Saccharomyces cerevisiae S288C: one gene and its partners. The protein of the gene in region 1 binds, or shares a complex with, the protein of each later gene. Each region holds a gene or a part of one and is shown in the gene's direction. Other genes may lie near its edges.

Region 1 (11,485 bases):
TTATAATATCTCTTTCTACCGGACTATTTTATTTTATTTTATTTTATTTTTATAAAGAAAAATAGTAATAATATTATCTTCTCCTCCTTTCGGGGTTCCGGTTCCCGTGCCGGGCCCCGGAACTATTAATTATATAATATAATATAATATAATATAATATAATATGATACGGATCAAACATTACCCGTTGTTCACTGGCAATGTTTAATCCTATTGTATATAAATATAATAAAATAATTATCCCTCTCGTAATACATATATAAAATATAAAATATAAAATAAAAATATTATGATTATTATAATATATATATATATATATATAAATATATATATATAATTTATAATTTATATGATTAATATATTATATATATAAAAAATATATTAAATTTACTTTTTATAGAAAGGAGTGAGGGACCCCCCCCCCTTACGGGGGGGAACCGAACCCCGCAGGAGATATTTATTTTAATACTTATATAGTATTTATTAATAATATAATAATTGTTATTATAAATATTAATAATAATATAAAAATAGGGTAAATAATATAAATAATATGAATAAATATAAAAACATATTAAATATAAAATATATCATAAATTTAATAAATATTATAATAATTTATAAATGATAGATATCTGGGGTCCTATAAATAATAATTATTTTCAATAATTATAGGGACCCCCACCTATTATATAAATATAAATATAAATATAAATATAAATACAAATATAAATATATAAATATATAAATATAATATAAATACAAATATAATATATAAATATAAATATAAATATATAAATATAAGTCCCCGCCCCGGCGGGGACCCCGAAGGAGTGAGGGACCCCTCCCTATACTAATGGGAGGGGGACCGAACCCCGAAGGAGTATAAATAAAAATTAATAATATATATATAATTATAATAGTTCCGGGGCCCGGCCACGGGAGCCGGAACCCCGAAAGGAGAAATAATAATATAATATATAATAAAATATAACTTATTAATATAATATTAAAAATATAATTAACAAGAATAAATAGTCCGTGGGATCGAACCCCCTTTTTTATTTAATATTTAATATTTAAAGAAGGAATTGTTTATATATATTAATATCTTATTTGGGGATTAATATAATATATAAGTTTTGGATACCAGGCCAAAGACCGGAATCCCAAAAGGAGATTATATAAATATTATTTATCTCCCTTTTTTAATATTATAATAATTTTATTAAAAATAAAATAATAATAATAATTATAATTTATAATAACAATTATAATAATTTAATTAATTAATTAATTAATTAATTAATTAATTAATTAATTAATAATAAATATAAATATAAAAAGAATATAATTTATAATAAATAAATTTATATATATATATATATATTAAATAAAATATTTACTTCATTAATATAAAATATAAATATATTTAATTAATAAGTATATATATATAATAATATATAATAACCTATTTATATATATAATCTTAATATAATTATAAGAAATATTATATAAGTAATATATAAAAATAATATAAAATAATTATAATTCAATTTATATATTAATAGTTCCGGGGCCCGGCCACGGGAGCCGGAACCCCGAAAGGAGGAATAAGATAAATATATAAATTATATTAATAAATATAAATTTTAAATGAATTAATAAAATTAATATATATATGTATATATATATATATATTAAAAATATTTAATTATTTTTAGGAAGGAGTGATAGATCCCTTTGGGGGACCGAACCCCTATTTAAGAAGGAGTGCGGGACCCCGTGGGAACCGAACCCCTTTTTTATTTAAAGAAGAAGTTTTATTTTATTTTATTTTATTTTATTTTATTTTATTTTATTTTATTTTATTTTATTTTATTTAATTTAATTTTAATTAGGTTAATAAATAGTAATAATAAACTTAATAATAATAATAATAATTTTATTTTTATAATTTATTAATAATAATAATAATTATATATATATATATTATTAATAAATATAGACCTTATCGTCTAATGGTTACGACATCACCTCTTCATGTTGATAATATCGGTTCGATTCCGATTAAGGTTATTCATAATAATAAATATTTGTAAAAAAAGTATATATAATTAAACATATTCTTTATATTAATTAATAATTATTAATAATATACATTTTATATAATACAATTATATATATATATATATTTTTTTTTAATACAAATAATATATTCATAATAATAAATACCGATTGTTATTATACTATAATAAAATATATAATATATTTTTCATTATAATATTTTTAAATAAATATTATAATAAATTATATAAATAATATTTATGTATAATAATAATAATAATAATTGTTATTAATTAATTCTATAATTATTATATATTTAATTTTTTTTTTTAATATAATATATAATAATATAATTTATTTTATTTTTTTTTATAGTTCCGGGGCCCGGTCACGGGAGCCGGAACCCCGAAAGGAGAATATAAATTAATAATAATATAAATAACATATTAACAATAAATTATTGTTAATATAATAATAATAATAACAATATTAATAAATAATATAAAAATTATTAATATTATATTTATATAATATTAATATAAAAATCTTTCATAATATTAATTATTATTAAATAATAATGATATCATTAATATTAATATAATCGTCAATATTATTTATTTATTTATTTATTTATTTATTTATTTATTTATTTATTATTAAATAAATATTTTTAAATATTATATTATATTATTAACTTTTTATTAAAAAAATTAATAATGATATAATATAATTAATATTATCCACGGGACCAATGACCAACCCAGTAGTTGACCGGATTGGCGCCCGCGAGGTTTATATTTAATAAATAATAATAATAATATTAATAAAATCTATTAACTTTTTTTTTTAATGGATTATATTAATGAAAAAAAAATGAGAAATATCTTTTTTTTTTAATAATTATAATTTATATATAATAAAATATGTATATATAATAAAAAAATAGTTTTTAATATTATAATATAATTATATATATAATTATAAATATATATATATATAATAAGTATTAATTAATAATATATATTTATATATTTTTTATTAATTAATATATATAAAATATTAGTAATAAATAATATTATTAATATTTTATAAATAAATAATAATAATATGGCATTTAGAAAATCAAATGTGTATTTAAGTTTAGTGAATAGTTATATTATTGATTCACCACAACCATCATCAATTAATTATTGATGAAATATGGGTTCATTATTAGGTTTATGTTTAGTTATTCAAATTGTAACAGGTATTTTTATGGCTATGCATTATTCATCTAATATTGAATTAGCTTTTTCATCTGTTGAACATATTATAAGAGATGTGCATAATGGTTATATTTTAAGATATTTACATGCAAATGGTGCATCATTCTTTTTTATGGTAATGTTTATGCATATGGCTAAAGGTTTATATTATGGTTCATATAGATCACCAAGAGTACTATTATGAAATGTAGGTGTTATTATTTTCATTTTAACTATTGCTACAGCTTTTTTAGGTTATTGTTGTGTTTATGGACAGAGTGAGACAAGTATAAGTATATTATTATAATATCATACCATTAAATAAATTATTTTAATGAAATGATTATGTTTATATATAACATATACCTAATTAGACATGCATTATTAGTAATAATTTTGTATGAAACTCTAATAATAATAATTATTATTAATTATTAAGGTAAGATTCATATGGATAGCGTAAGTCAATCTAATATTATAAAATATCGTAACATAAACAATATTTTTTTCTATTATTAATTAATAAATAATAATAAATAAAAATAATTATATGAGAAGTAAGATATTCAATTCTGTCTAGAATACATATATATACGTTAATACTCATCGGTATAAAATTAGAATCCTAAGTGAATTATTGAAAGTATAATAATATAAACTTGGTAAGCCCAATTATTTCCATATAATATTAATATAAATATTATATGGTAGTTATATATAATATTATTAAATAAATAATAATAGAAATTATAATATAGATAAGTGGGTAAAAGACTATTGAAAAAGCTAAAGATTATATGTAATGTATAATATAGATCAAATTATTTATATATTTTAATAAAAATATATTAATAATGGTTAATATTATTATTAATTAATTAATTAATTAATTAATAATAATAACGAATAAATGATTAATGTGAAAGCATGCTAACTTCAATATAGGATGATTTATATAGTATATAAATTGTTTGAGCTGTATACTATGAAAGTAGTACGTACAGTTCTGAGTGGGGGAAAATTTGTAAAGATCTACCTATCACAATTGTCACATTGAGGTAATATAAATATCGCCTCAAATATATTTAATATAATAAAACTAATTTATATAATAATGTTAATATTATTAATTTATATTTTTTATACGATTATAATAAGACAAATAATAAAAACTAAAGAATATCTTATATTAATTAAGAGTATAGATTATATTAATAAAAATAAATATATAATTAATTTAAATATAACAAATAAGAAAGATATAAATAATAATATTGGTCCATTAAATATAAACATTTTATCAATTATTTATGGTTCAATATTAGGAGATGGTCATGCTGAAAAAAGAAAAGGTGGTAAAGGAACAAGAATTGTATTTCAACAAGAATATTGTAATATTAATTATTTATATTATTTACATAGTTTATTAGCTAATTTAGGTTATTGTAATACTAATTTACCTTTAATTAAAACTAGATTAGGTAAAAAAGGTAAAATTAGACAATATTTAAAATTTAATACATGAACTTATGATTCATTTAATATGATTTATTCAGAATGGTATATTAAAAATATATCTGGAAAAGGTAATATTAAAGTTATTCCTAAATCTTTAGACAATTATTTAACTCCTTTAGCTTTAGCTATTTGAATTATAGATGATGGATGTAAATTAGGTAAAGGTTTAAAATTCACAACTAATTGTTTTAGTTATAAAGATGTTCAATATTTACTTTATTTATTACATAATAAATATAATATTAAATCTACTATTCTTAAAGGCAATAAAGAAAATACACAATTTGTTATTTATGTATGAAAAGAATCTATACCTATTTTAACTAAAATTGTATCTCCTTATATTATTCCTAGTATAAAATATAAATTAGGTAATTATTTATAATAAAATATATAGTATTATATTAATTATTATATTATTATAATGCGATATTATTGAAAACATGTCAAAATTATATTATTAAGTAACAAGACAGTGGGTTATATAATTATATGATCCCAACAGAATACACCAATAATAGGTATTATTATAAAAAAAATAATAATATTTAATGTTTATTCGAAGAAAATTTATAATATTATTATTATAACACAAGGTTTAATAATCTATATATATATATTATATATATAACTACTGTTATTATTCCATTTACCTAATTAATATATAAATAATGAATTATAATTATTATGATTAATATTTTTATAATAATAACCCCATCATAACATTTATATATAACATTTATATATAACATTTATATATAATATTTATATTATGGTATTATTAGGTATAAATATTTATTCATAAGAGAAAATAGTGATTAAATGGAATTATAAAAAGGGTAGATATTATTAAATACAGGGTATTATTTATATTAATAAATCAATAAATATTGAGATTATTATTATTAAAAAATAATAATAATTTATAAATAATATTATTTTCTTGGCACTAGTTATTACTAATTTATTCTCAGCAATTCCATTTGTAGGTAACGATATTGTATCTTGATTATGAGGTGGGTTTAATATAGAGGATCCATATTATAGTAATATAATATTAAATAAATCTGTTTTATGCTGAAATATCTTCATTTGAATAATAAATTACTATATTATTCAATTAATTATTTATAATAATATAATTTGAAATAAAAATAATATAGTTAAAATATTTATTATAAGAAGAAAATTAGCAGTAATTAATATATATATATATATAAAATTAATTATTCAGAGACTTTATAGTTATTATATAAATAATACTATTATTTATGATAAAAATCATAAATTAAACACAGATAATCCTATTTATGCATATATTGGTGGTTTATTTGAAGGAGATGGTTGAATTACTATTTCAAAAAAAGGTAAATATTTATTATATGAATTAGGTATTGAAATACATATTAGAGATATTCAATTATTATATAAAATTAAAAATATTTTAGGTATTGGTAAAGTAACAATTAAAAAATTAAAAATAAAAGATGGTACTATTAAAGAAATATGTAAATTTAATGTAAGAAATAAAAATCATTTAAAGAATATTATTATTCCTATTTTTGATAAATATCCTATATTAACTAATAAACATTATGATTATTTATATTTTAAAGATAATTTATTAAAAGATATTAAATATTATAATGATTTATCTTATTATTTACGTCCTATTAAACCATTTAATACTCTTGAAGATATTTTAAATAAAAATTATTTTTCTTCATGATTAATTGGTTTTTTTGAAGCTGAAAGTTGTTTTAGTATTTATAAACCTATAAATAAAAAAATAAAACTTGCTAGTTTTGAAGTATCTCAAAATAATAGTATAGAAGTTATATTAGCTATTAAATCATATTTAAAAATTACTCAAAATATTTATACAGATAAATTTAATAATTCAAGAATAACACTTAAAAGTATTAATGGTATTAAAAATGTTGTAATATTTATTAATAATAACCCTATTAAATTATTAGGTTATAAAAAATTACAATATTTATTATTCTTAAAAGATTTACGTCTTATTCTTAAATATAATAATTATTTTAAAATTCCTCCTAAATATTAATCTTATATAAAAATATAATAATAATATATTTATATATTATATAATTATATAAACAAAATATAATTTATATATAATTATTTATTATAAATATAGTCCGGCCCGCCCCGCGGGGCGGACCCCGGAGGAGTGAGGGACCCCTCCCTATTCTAACGGGAGGGGGACCGAACCCCGAAGGAGTTTAATTATATATTAAATATATTATTATCAATAAATAATTCCTTTGAACTATTTATTATTTTATTATATTTATTTTCTCCTTCATTATTAATTTTTATTAATAATTAAAATCTTATCATTTTATGGTATTTTTATTTCTATTTTAGGATATCGAAACTATAAATTAAAAAGTATAATTTTATTAATTATAATTTATGATTAATAAATAAGAAATAAAAACTTTAGAAGTAATATTTATCTTTTTTTTTTATAAATAAATATTATGATTAATATATAATCATTTATAAATATTTATATATAATTATATATATACATAAATAGGATTAAGATATAGTCCGAACAATATAGTGATATATTGATAATAGTTTTCAAATATGTAACTATTTAAACATTAAAAGCTCAGTATCTAACCCTCTAATCCAGAGATTCTTTGCGTTACATTATTTAGTACCTTTTATCATTGCTGCAATGGTTATTATGCATTTAATGGCATTACATATTCATGGTTCATCTAATCCATTAGGTATTACAGGTAATTTAGATAGAATTCCAATGCATTCATACTTTATTTTTAAAGATTTAGTAACTGTTTTCTTATTTATGTTAATTTTAGCATTATTTGTATTCTATTCACCTAATACTTTAGGTCAAAATATGGCCTTATTATTAATTACATATGTAATTAATATTTTATGTGCTGTATGCTGGAAATCTTTATTTATTAAATATCAATGAAAAATTTATAATAAAACTCTATATTATTTTATTATTCAAAATATTTTAAATACAAAACAATTAAATAATTTCGTATTAAAATTTAATTGAACAAAGCAATATAATAAAATAAATATTGTAAGTGATTTATTTAATCCCAATAGAGTAAAATATTATTATAAAGAAGATAATCAGCAGGTAACCAATATAAATTCTTCTAATACTCACTTAACGAGTAATAAAAAGAATTTATTAGTAGATACTTCAGAGACTACACGCACACTAAAAAATAAATTTAATTATTTATTAAATATTTTTAATATAAAAAAAATAAATCAAATTATTCTTAAAAGACATTATAGTATTTATAAAGATAGTAATATTAGATTTAACCAATGATTGGCCGGTTTAATTGACGGAGATGGTTATTTTTGTATTACTAAAAATAAATATGCATCTTGTGAAATTCTTGTAGAATTAAAAGATGAAAAAATGTTAAGACAAATCCAAGATAAATTTGGTGGTTCTGTAAAATTAAGATCAGGTGTTAAGGCTATTAGATATAGATTACAAAATAAAGAAGGTATAATTAAATTAATTAATGCCGTTAATGGTAATATTCGTAATAGTAAAAGATTAGTACAATTTAATAAAGTATGTATTTTATTAAATATCGATTTTAAAGAACCTATTAAATTAACTAAAGATAATGCTTGATTTATAGGGTTCTTTGATGCTGATGGTACTATTAATTATTATTATTCCGGTAAATTAAAAATTAGACCTCAATTAACTATTAGCGTTACAAATAAATATTTACATGATGTTGAATACTATAGAGAAGTATTTGGTGGTAATATTTATTTTGATAAAGCTAAAAATGGTTATTTTAAATGATCTATTAATAATAAAGAATTACATAATATTTTTTATCTTTATAATAAAAGTTGTCCTTCTAAATCTAATAAAGGTAAACGTTTATTTTTAATTGATAAATTTTATTATTTATATGATTTATTAGCTTTTAAAGCACCTCATAATACTGCTTTATATAAAGCTTGATTAAAATTTAATGAAAAATGAAATAATAATTAAATTTTCTCCGTATTCATTATTATATTATCTAATTTATAAAATATTTAAAGATTCCTTATAATAATATAACATCTTTGTAAATTATTGTTAAAGATAATATAAATTATTATGAATCGGTAGATTATATTTTTACAATCTTATTAAATAAAATTCTGATCATTAAACATGATTGAAGAAATAATAATAGTTTATGAAATAAGATAGTGTAATATAAATTTTTATGAAGATATAGTCCATTTTATATTTATTATAAAAGCATCCTGATAACTATATTCCTGGTAATCCTTTAGTAACACCAGCATCTATTGATATTAAAAATATTAATAAAATTATTATTATTTAATCTTATTTATTTTATATAAAAAAAATAAATAATAATTATTAATAAAAATATATTATTTATTTCTCCTTTCGGGGTTATTTATATATATTCCTTTATAATTTATATTTAATATATTATATTAAATATATGAAAAATTATAATAAATAAATTAATTAATTAATAATAAATAATAATAAAAAGTACAGTAGCATTAAATATTCTTAAGTTTCCGCTTTGTGGGAACTCCCATAAGGAGTTTAATGATTAAAATTGGTTAATTGTCAAGAAAATCTAAGGTATTAATAAATAAATAATACTATGACAACTTGCAGCGAAGTTTATATCATCTCTATATTATATATTAATATATATATATAATAATAATAATAATATTAATATAATATAAGATATAAAAACGTTCAACGACTAGAAAGTGAACTGAGATAGTAATACCTTTCCACGAAAACCAATTAATTTATAAATTATTTTTAAATAAAGAATAGATTATTAATTTTTTTTATATAGTTCCGGGCCCCGGCCACGGGAGCCGGAACCCCGGAAGGAGTAATATATATTATATATAAAATAAAAAATATATATATATATATTATAAAATATCAAAAGTTTTAATCTTTTATTATAAATTAATGACATAGTCTGAACAATAATGAAAATTATTGAGATAAGATATTAAATAATCTTATGTTAACATATATAAATTGTGTACCTGAATGATACTTATTACCATTCTATGCTATTTTAAGATCTATTCCTGATAAATTATTAGGAGTTATTCTAATGTTTGCAGCTATTTTAGTATTATTAGTTTTACCATTTACTGATAGAAGTGTAGTAAGAGGTAATACTTTTAAAGTATTATCTAAATTCTTCTTCTTTATCTTTGTATTCAATTTCGTATTATTAGGACAAATTGGAGCATGCCATGTAGAAGTACCTTATGTCTTAATGGGACAAATCGCTACATTTATCTACTTCGCTTATTTCTTAATTATTGTACCTGTTATCTCTACTATTGAAAATGTTTTATTCTATATCGGTAGAGTTAATAAATAATATATAATTAAATTAATACATAGATATAATATATATATTATTATTATTAATAATATAATAAAAATAAAAATAAAATTATTAATAATAATAATACTTTAATAATATTCTTAAAAATAATATATCTCTAATTTATAAAAATTAAATAATAATAATAAAAAAAAAATATTATAAAATATAAATTAATTAATAATGAAAATAATATACTTATTAAATTAATATAAATAAATGAATAATATAATATAACTATATTGAATTATAATCTATCTATCTTTTTTTTTCATATAATTATAATATATATATTAATATATATAATTATTATTTTATATATTATAGTTCCGGGGCCCGGTCACGGAAGCCGGAACCCCGCAAGGAGATTTATTAATTATTATTATCATTATTATTTTTTATTTAATCTTATTTATTATAAAATAATTAATTATCATAAAGCATAATTATTATAGAATCTTATTATTTTCTTTATTTAAATTTATAAAAATATAAAGTCCCCGCCCCCTTTTTATTTTATTTAATTAAGAAGGTATTTTAAAAAAGGAGTGAGGGACCCCCTCCCGTTAGGGAGGGGGACCGAACCCCGAAGGAGTACTCATTTAATATAAATATTAAATAAAAATTATTTTATATATATTAATGATTATTAATATTGATAATATAAATTATTTTATAATTAATTATTATAAATATATAACTATTAATAATTAATTTTTAATCTAGGGGTTTCCCCCACTTACATAAACTTACGTATACTTACATATACTTATGTATACTTACATATACTTACGTATACTTATATATACTTATGTATACTTACGTATACTTACATATATGGGGGATCCCTCACTCCTCCGGCGTCCTACTCACCCTATTTATTAATCATTAATAAGAAATTATTATTAAAAAAATTATAATTTACTCAAAGTTAATTATAAATATATTTTTAAATATCTATTTTATTAATCTTTTATAAAATTTAAATTAATTGTAATTAATTAATATTATAATAATTATTCTTAGGAAGGATATTTATTTATTTTAATTATGAATTCCTGACATAGAGACAATTAATTAGAACTTCTTATTATTATTATAGTAATAATAAAAATATTCTAAATATATTATATATATTATTATTTTTTTTATTATTAATAAAATATTATAATAAATTTAAATAAGTTTATAATTTTT
Region 2 (3,400 bases), on another chromosome or scaffold:
TGGAGTGTTGCCAGAGCTGGTCAAAGAGGTTACCATTCCAGAACCTCCATTAACCACAAGATTTACAGAGTCGGTAAGGGTGATGATGAAGCTAACGGTGCTACCAGCTTCGACAGAACCAAGAAGACTATTACCCCAATGGGTGGTTTCGTCCACTACGGTGAAATTAAGAACGACTTCATCATGGTTAAAGGTTGTATCCCAGGTAACAGAAAGAGAATTGTTACTTTGAGAAAGTCTTTGTACACCAACACTTCTAGAAAGGCTTTGGAAGAAGTCAGCTTGAAGTGGATTGACACTGCTTCTAAGTTCGGTAAGGGTAGATTCCAAACCCCAGCTGAAAAGCATGCTTTCATGGGTACTTTGAAGAAGGACTTGTAAGAAGTTTTGTTAGAAAATAAATCATTTTTTAATTGAGCATTCTTATTCCTATTTTATTTAAATAGTTTTATGTATTGTTAGCTACATACAACAGTTTAAATCAAATTTTCTTTTTCCCAAGTCCAAAATGGAGGTTTATTTTGATGACCCGCATGCGATTATGTTTTGAAAGTATAAGACTACATACATGTACATATATTTAAACATGTAAACCCGTCCATTATATTGCTTACTTTCTTCTTTTTTGCCGTTTTGACTTGGACCTCTGGTTTGCTATTTCCTTACAATCTTTGCTACAATACCATTTGCCCTTGGGAGCTTGTTTCAGGCCTACGCAACCATAATGGAACCACTCGAAGGGACAAGCCGGATTATCACAAGCCACCATTGGCCCATAAGATACATTCCTACAGAAACAATAAACCTCCTCTTGATTATTATTACCCTCTGTTACATCACCCTGGTTAATCCCAATTGTGGGGCTAGTTATGCTCTCTTTTCTTTCCCTCGATTTAGCCTTTTTCAAGTTAATCTTTAAAAGCAGTTTTGGCTCCTTATATGCTCCTGGTTCTTCTAACGTCAACTTCGACTTGATATTCTCTAGCGAAGAGTTGAAATTTTTTGTCACTGACTTCTGTATCTCTAGTTCCTTCTTATGCTGCTTTAAGAAATGAATCTGATCATCGACCAGATCATTAATATAAGTCGCTACCAGCAACAGATCCCTACAGGCCCTTTCCATACCAGGCTCATCCTCTTCATTCTTGAATAAGTCGATTGTTTGCATCAGTCGAAGAGATCTTATTAGTTCACATGGTAAATGATCCAAAGTGCTAAGGAAACTGTACCTGATATCCGAATCCGAGTTTTCGTTGGCGAGATGTTCCATTGCTGTAGACGAAAAAAACTTCCTTGTAAAGCGGATGTGCTAGCGCATCATACATTTCAGTTCTATTAAGACTTTCACAGATGCTGTTGTGATGTTCTGTGAGCCAATCCCAAATGTTTGTATAAGGACGGAAATAAGACGGAGCGCCACGTGACTGAAGATTTTTTTTTTCTCGGATTTCTTGGTAATGGGCGGCCGGTATTTCCGGCGGCCAAAAAATGCGAGGATTTGGTTGGTGGAGAGGGTCGAGCGCCTTTACCCTGCGTAGATACTAAGGGGGCTCTTTCTAGTATATAAACAATTTGAATAATAACGAGGTTAGACGTCCAACTGGATCCATAGACTATCTAAGCTTTTAGTAGAGGCCATTCGTTTTCTTATTAATCATCGGTTTCACAATCTTTCTTTGTTAAGCAACATTTTATACATTTTTGTACTTTATCTTCAAATATTAAGGACAAGAAAGAAAAAGAAAAAGAATCCATATTCTATATTAGTGTAACACTATTTTTCTTAAATATTTTTTCCAGTACTCCCCCAGTTTGATAAAAAGCATTCATTGAATTTCCCCACATTTGTGATATCTTCAATTGATTAGTTTGAACTAGTTCTGAAAAATAATATTTTACAATTTGCATTTTCATTACACTATATCATCTACTATTTTTTCTCAGAAGCGGAAGTTATAACTAATTTGACAATGTTTTCAAATCTATCTAAACGTTGGGCTCAAAGGACCCTCTCGAAAAGTTTCTACTCTACCGCAACAGGTGCTGCTAGTAAATCTGGCAAGCTTACTCAAAAGCTCGTTACAGCGGGTGTTGCTGCCGCCGGTATCACCGCATCGACTTTACTCTATGCAGACTCCTTAACTGCCGAAGCTATGACCGCAGCTGAACACGGATTGCACGCCCCAGCATATGCTTGGTCCCACAATGGGCCTTTTGAAACATTTGATCATGCATCCATTAGAAGAGGTTACCAGGTTTACCGTGAAGTTTGTGCCGCCTGCCATTCTCTTGACAGAGTTGCTTGGAGAACTTTGGTTGGTGTTTCTCATACCAACGAAGAGGTTCGTAATATGGCCGAAGAATTTGAATACGATGACGAACCTGATGAACAAGGTAACCCTAAAAAGAGACCAGGTAAGTTGTCCGATTACATCCCTGGCCCATACCCAAACGAACAGGCTGCAAGAGCTGCCAATCAAGGTGCCTTGCCACCTGATCTATCTTTGATCGTGAAAGCTAGACACGGTGGTTGTGACTACATTTTCTCTTTGTTGACCGGTTATCCTGATGAACCTCCTGCTGGTGTGGCTTTACCACCAGGTTCTAATTATAACCCTTACTTCCCAGGTGGTTCCATTGCAATGGCAAGAGTCTTGTTTGATGACATGGTTGAGTACGAAGATGGTACCCCCGCAACGACATCTCAAATGGCAAAGGACGTTACCACCTTTTTAAACTGGTGTGCCGAACCTGAACATGACGAAAGAAAGAGATTGGGTTTGAAAACGGTGATAATCTTATCATCTTTGTATTTGCTATCTATCTGGGTGAAGAAGTTCAAATGGGCCGGTATCAAAACCAGAAAATTCGTTTTCAATCCACCAAAACCAAGAAAGTAGTTGACAAAAAAATGAAAACCACTATTATTTAAATTACGGAAAAAAAAAAACCAATAAACAAAAAACATAATAAAAGAAATGAAAAAAAAGAATATTAGTAGAGCATACTGAATTGTTTTCAGAAAGAGAGTGAAAGGTAACAAAAATTTACCTACTTTTCCTTTTTATTTCTCTGGTTTCGTTTCTTTTTTTTCGGCCACCCTATTTATTTTTTCACTGCTTGTAAACAACGTCTCACTTCAATAGTGTCTCCTTCATGTACTGAGATACTGCTGCAAGCGAAATATCACGAATAATAATATAAAAAAAAAAAAAAAAAAAAAAAAAGATGTTTAAATGTTAACAACCTAACAGCAATAAAAAATAAAAATAAAGGTAGAAGATTGCAAGAAAGAAACTTTACAATATTTTGTTTGGATGCCCAACACCGGCGTCTTGGTGTTCTTCTATAATATTTATTTTATTTATTTTTTATTTATATATGTACATATATATTCCTA
Region 3 (2,986 bases), on another chromosome or scaffold:
TGAAATCATTATTCTTAAATGTTCCGATCCTCTTGTTCGCATATATACAGTCATCCAAGTTTTCAAATTTGGTCAATGCTTCCTCTGTGAGATCAGGCTCTTGATCAAAAAGCCTTTGAGGTTTATGGCCCTCAGCGTTGTTATTCAGTATTTCTTTTTCATCTTCCGACGCACTCACACTTTGGTTCTTCGACATGATCACGTAAAACAACAACCAGGAAAGGAGAAAGGTTTGACAGCACGACTATGCAGTTTTCTATCACACGTTCGAAAGCCCCTTTGAAAAGCTGCCAACGTGACCTTACGTTCTGATAAATAACCACCAAATTACCAATAATTCTAATAGTTTCTTGGAATTTTTCACATGTTTGCAGTGAATAAAAAAAAAAAAACGTTAAAGGTGATATTGATCACGTGACAAATCTGTAAAAGTACGGATACTGTCCTTATTACTGCGATATACAGTGTGAGGTATTCTAAGCGGTATATTCACCGTCCTCTACACATATTTTAAATACTGATGAAGTGACAAGCAATATCATTGAGCATTCTTTTTTCAATAGTCGAAGTCAGCTTCTTCTCGTCGGTTCTAAACGAAACGCCTTGTTGAAAAAGACCGATAAATAGAGGAAGCAACGGCAGGAAATATATATAAACGCATGTCGAAACTAATACTTTATGATAGATTGTTCTTCTATCAGTTTTCATTTTAACTTTAAAAACTCAACCAACAGGTATTGGACTGACATAGGCACAATAAACTCAAAAATATTACGTAGAAATGGCTTCAGAAAAAGAAATTAGGAGAGAGAGATTCTTGAACGTTTTCCCTAAATTAGTAGAGGAATTGAACGCATCGCTTTTGGCTTACGGTATGCCTAAGGAAGCATGTGACTGGTATGCCCACTCATTGAACTACAACACTCCAGGCGGTAAGCTAAATAGAGGTTTGTCCGTTGTGGACACGTATGCTATTCTCTCCAACAAGACCGTTGAACAATTGGGGCAAGAAGAATACGAAAAGGTTGCCATTCTAGGTTGGTGCATTGAGTTGTTGCAGGCTTACTTCTTGGTCGCCGATGATATGATGGACAAGTCCATTACCAGAAGAGGCCAACCATGTTGGTACAAGGTTCCTGAAGTTGGGGAAATTGCCATCAATGACGCATTCATGTTAGAGGCTGCTATCTACAAGCTTTTGAAATCTCACTTCAGAAACGAAAAATACTACATAGATATCACCGAATTGTTCCATGAGGTCACCTTCCAAACCGAATTGGGCCAATTGATGGACTTAATCACTGCACCTGAAGACAAAGTCGACTTGAGTAAGTTCTCCCTAAAGAAGCACTCCTTCATAGTTACTTTCAAGACTGCTTACTATTCTTTCTACTTGCCTGTCGCATTGGCCATGTACGTTGCCGGTATCACGGATGAAAAGGATTTGAAACAAGCCAGAGATGTCTTGATTCCATTGGGTGAATACTTCCAAATTCAAGATGACTACTTAGACTGCTTCGGTACCCCAGAACAGATCGGTAAGATCGGTACAGATATCCAAGATAACAAATGTTCTTGGGTAATCAACAAGGCATTGGAACTTGCTTCCGCAGAACAAAGAAAGACTTTAGACGAAAATTACGGTAAGAAGGACTCAGTCGCAGAAGCCAAATGCAAAAAGATTTTCAATGACTTGAAAATTGAACAGCTATACCACGAATATGAAGAGTCTATTGCCAAGGATTTGAAGGCCAAAATTTCTCAGGTCGATGAGTCTCGTGGCTTCAAAGCTGATGTCTTAACTGCGTTCTTGAACAAAGTTTACAAGAGAAGCAAATAGAACTAACGCTAATCGATAAAACATTAGATTTCAAACTAGATAAGGACCATGTATAAGAACTATATACTTCCAATATAATATAGTATAAGCTTTAAGATAGTATCTCTCGATCTACCGTTCCACGTGACTAGTCCAAGGATTTTTTTTAAGCCAATGAAAATGAAGAAATGCGTGATCGGAAATTACGGGTAGTACGAGAAGGAAACTTGAGCCACCCCCCAAATTTTATTCATATAATAATAGGAAAAGCAACGACCTCATCTCTCGAACATTGTTTACTTGAGCAAGTCCGATTAAGAGTAAGTTGTCGTACGTTAAATACAAATAATCAACAAAACACTACACAAAAACTTCTACGATAATGGGTCCTCCAAGCGGTAAAACTTACATGGGATGGTGGGGTCACATGGGTGGTCCAAAGCAAAAAGGTATAACCTCATATGCTGTGTCTCCATATGCTCAAAAGCCATTACAAGGTATTTTCCATAACGCTGTATTCAATAGTTTTAGAAGATTTAAGTCTCAATTTCTATATGTATTAATACCTGCGGGAATTTATTGGTACTGGTGGAAGAACGGTAACGAGTATAATGAATTTCTGTACAGCAAAGCTGGTAGAGAAGAGCTGGAAAGAGTTAATGTTTAATATTGTTTCCATGCCTCTACATTACATCGATCTTTTGATCTTCTAAAAACTTACATATATATTCTGTTTATAAAACAAGAGCAAATAACCCCCATATATTTATTCAGTCAGTCTATTTATTTACTTACAGTATCAGTAATAATAAATACTTAAGCATTTTTTGTTTTGTATATCTTTATTTACTAACCTTGGTATGTAAGTGTCTATAAACTACACAGCATTTTGTTTTCCTCATCCAGGAGCTTTGTAGTAATTGTTCAATGGTGATTCTCTTCGTGGGGTCGACCTGGAACGTTCTATATAGTGCAATTTTCCTCAACCTATTCAGTTCGCTACTAACATGTCTTAATTCCTCAAATAGATAAAACTGTCCATCATCTTTAATTTCACTGAGAAATGATTTAAAAAGAGAATCCTTTTCAGGAATGGCGATTTTCCAAAGATACTGTCCCATGACCATTGTACAGTAAACAATACCACAACTCCAACAATCTACCAGA

The links.
Region 2: the proteins of COB (region 1) and CYT1 are in contact, whole or in part, in a cryo-EM structure (PDB 6T15), measured with the Saccharomyces cerevisiae proteins. Residues at the interface, in NP_009315.1 of Saccharomyces cerevisiae: Tyr28 (codon at 3,256), Phe62 (codon at 3,358), Ser63 (codon at 3,361), Glu66 (codon at 3,370), Met69, Arg70 (codon at 3,382), Asp71 (codon at 3,385), Asn74 (codon at 3,394), Tyr76 (codon at 3,400), Ile77 (codon at 3,403), Tyr80 (codon at 3,412), Asp217 (codon at 7,618), Ile219 (codon at 7,624), Ser223 (codon at 7,636), Tyr224 (codon at 7,639), Phe225 (codon at 7,642), Phe227 (codon at 7,648), Lys228 (codon at 7,651), Val231 (codon at 7,660), Phe234 (codon at 7,669), Leu235 (codon at 7,672), Met237 (codon at 7,678), Leu238 (codon at 7,681), Ala241 (codon at 7,690), Leu242 (codon at 7,693), Val244 (codon at 7,699), Phe245 (codon at 7,702), Tyr246 (codon at 7,705), Ser247 (codon at 7,708), Pro248 (codon at 7,711); in NP_014708.1 of Saccharomyces cerevisiae: Met62 (codon at 2,154), His67 (codon at 2,169), Pro81 (codon at 2,211), Arg109 (codon at 2,295), Val110 (codon at 2,298), Arg113 (codon at 2,307), Tyr154 (codon at 2,430), Ser178 (codon at 2,502), Leu179 (codon at 2,505), Lys182 (codon at 2,514), Ala183 (codon at 2,517), Arg184 (codon at 2,520), His185 (codon at 2,523), Cys258 (codon at 2,742), Ala259 (codon at 2,745), Pro261 (codon at 2,751), Glu262 (codon at 2,754), Glu265 (codon at 2,763), Arg266 (codon at 2,766), Lys267 (codon at 2,769), Leu269 (codon at 2,775), Gly270 (codon at 2,778), Leu271 (codon at 2,781), Thr273 (codon at 2,787), Val274 (codon at 2,790), Leu277 (codon at 2,799), Ser278 (codon at 2,802), Leu280 (codon at 2,808), Tyr281 (codon at 2,811), Ser284 (codon at 2,820).
Region 3: the proteins of COB (region 1) and QCR8 are in contact, whole or in part, in a crystal structure (PDB 4PD4), measured with the Saccharomyces cerevisiae proteins. Residues at the interface, in NP_009315.1 of Saccharomyces cerevisiae: Ser15 (codon at 3,217), Asp19 (codon at 3,229), Ser20 (codon at 3,232), Pro21 (codon at 3,235), Pro109 (codon at 3,499), His202 (codon at 7,573), Ile203 (codon at 7,576), His204 (codon at 7,579), Gly205 (codon at 7,582), Asn215 (codon at 7,612), Leu216 (codon at 7,615), Arg218 (codon at 7,621), Ile219 (codon at 7,624), Pro220 (codon at 7,627), Val320, Lys323, Phe324, Phe327, Ile328, Phe331, Asn332, Leu335, Gln338, Cys342, Glu345, Val346, Pro347, Tyr348, Met351, Ile354; in NP_012369.1 of Saccharomyces cerevisiae: Thr8 (codon at 2,223), Tyr9 (codon at 2,226), Met10 (codon at 2,229), Gly11 (codon at 2,232), Trp12 (codon at 2,235), Trp13 (codon at 2,238), Met16 (codon at 2,247), Gly17 (codon at 2,250), Gly18 (codon at 2,253), Pro19 (codon at 2,256), Gln21 (codon at 2,262), Gln55 (codon at 2,364), Tyr58 (codon at 2,373), Val59 (codon at 2,376), Ile61 (codon at 2,382), Pro62 (codon at 2,385), Ala63 (codon at 2,388), Ile65 (codon at 2,394), Tyr66 (codon at 2,397), Trp69 (codon at 2,406), Trp70 (codon at 2,409), Gly73 (codon at 2,418), Asn74 (codon at 2,421), Tyr76 (codon at 2,427), Asn77 (codon at 2,430), Leu80 (codon at 2,439), Tyr81 (codon at 2,442), Asn93 (codon at 2,478).

The regions. Positions count from the first base shown.
Region 1 is NC_001224.1:33,366-44,850, forward strand, and holds COB (cytochrome b), read left to right. Parts: upstream 1-3,174; coding exon 3,175-3,589; intron 3,590-4,357; coding exon 4,358-4,371; coding exon of another isoform or gene 4,372-5,214; intron 5,215-5,775; coding exon 5,776-5,852; coding exon of another isoform or gene 5,853-6,900; intron 6,901-7,475; coding exon 7,476-7,725; coding exon of another isoform or gene 7,726-8,886; intron 8,887-9,142; coding exon 9,143-9,193; intron 9,194-9,931; coding exon 9,932-10,282; downstream 10,283-11,485. Other genes in the region: intron-encoded RNA maturase bI4, read left to right, coding at 3,175-3,589, 4,358-4,371, 5,776-5,852, 7,476-8,886; cytochrome b mRNA maturase bI3, read left to right, coding at 3,175-3,589, 4,358-4,371, 5,776-6,900; cytochrome b mRNA maturase bI2, read left to right, coding at 3,175-3,589, 4,358-5,214. UniProt on the Saccharomyces cerevisiae protein: Component of the ubiquinol-cytochrome c oxidoreductase, a multisubunit transmembrane complex that is part of the mitochondrial electron transport chain which drives oxidative phosphorylation.
Region 2 is NC_001147.6:445,469-448,868, forward strand, and holds CYT1 (ubiquinol--cytochrome-c reductase catalytic subunit CYT1), read left to right. Parts: upstream 1-1,970; coding exon 1,971-2,900; downstream 2,901-3,400. Other genes in the region: 60S ribosomal protein uL3 RPL3, read left to right, coding at 1-381; YNG1 (Yng1p), read right to left, coding at 611-1,270. UniProt on the Saccharomyces cerevisiae protein: Component of the ubiquinol-cytochrome c oxidoreductase, a multisubunit transmembrane complex that is part of the mitochondrial electron transport chain which drives oxidative phosphorylation.
Region 3 is NC_001142.9:104,233-107,218, forward strand, and holds QCR8 (ubiquinol--cytochrome-c reductase subunit 8), read left to right. Parts: upstream 1-2,201; coding exon 2,202-2,486; downstream 2,487-2,986. Other genes in the region: histone methyltransferase SET2, read right to left, coding at 1-196; ERG20 (bifunctional (2E,6E)-farnesyl diphosphate synthase/dimethylallyltranstransferase), read left to right, coding at 782-1,840; protein kinase HAL5, read right to left, coding at 2,662-2,986. UniProt on the Saccharomyces cerevisiae protein: Component of the ubiquinol-cytochrome c oxidoreductase, a multisubunit transmembrane complex that is part of the mitochondrial electron transport chain which drives oxidative phosphorylation.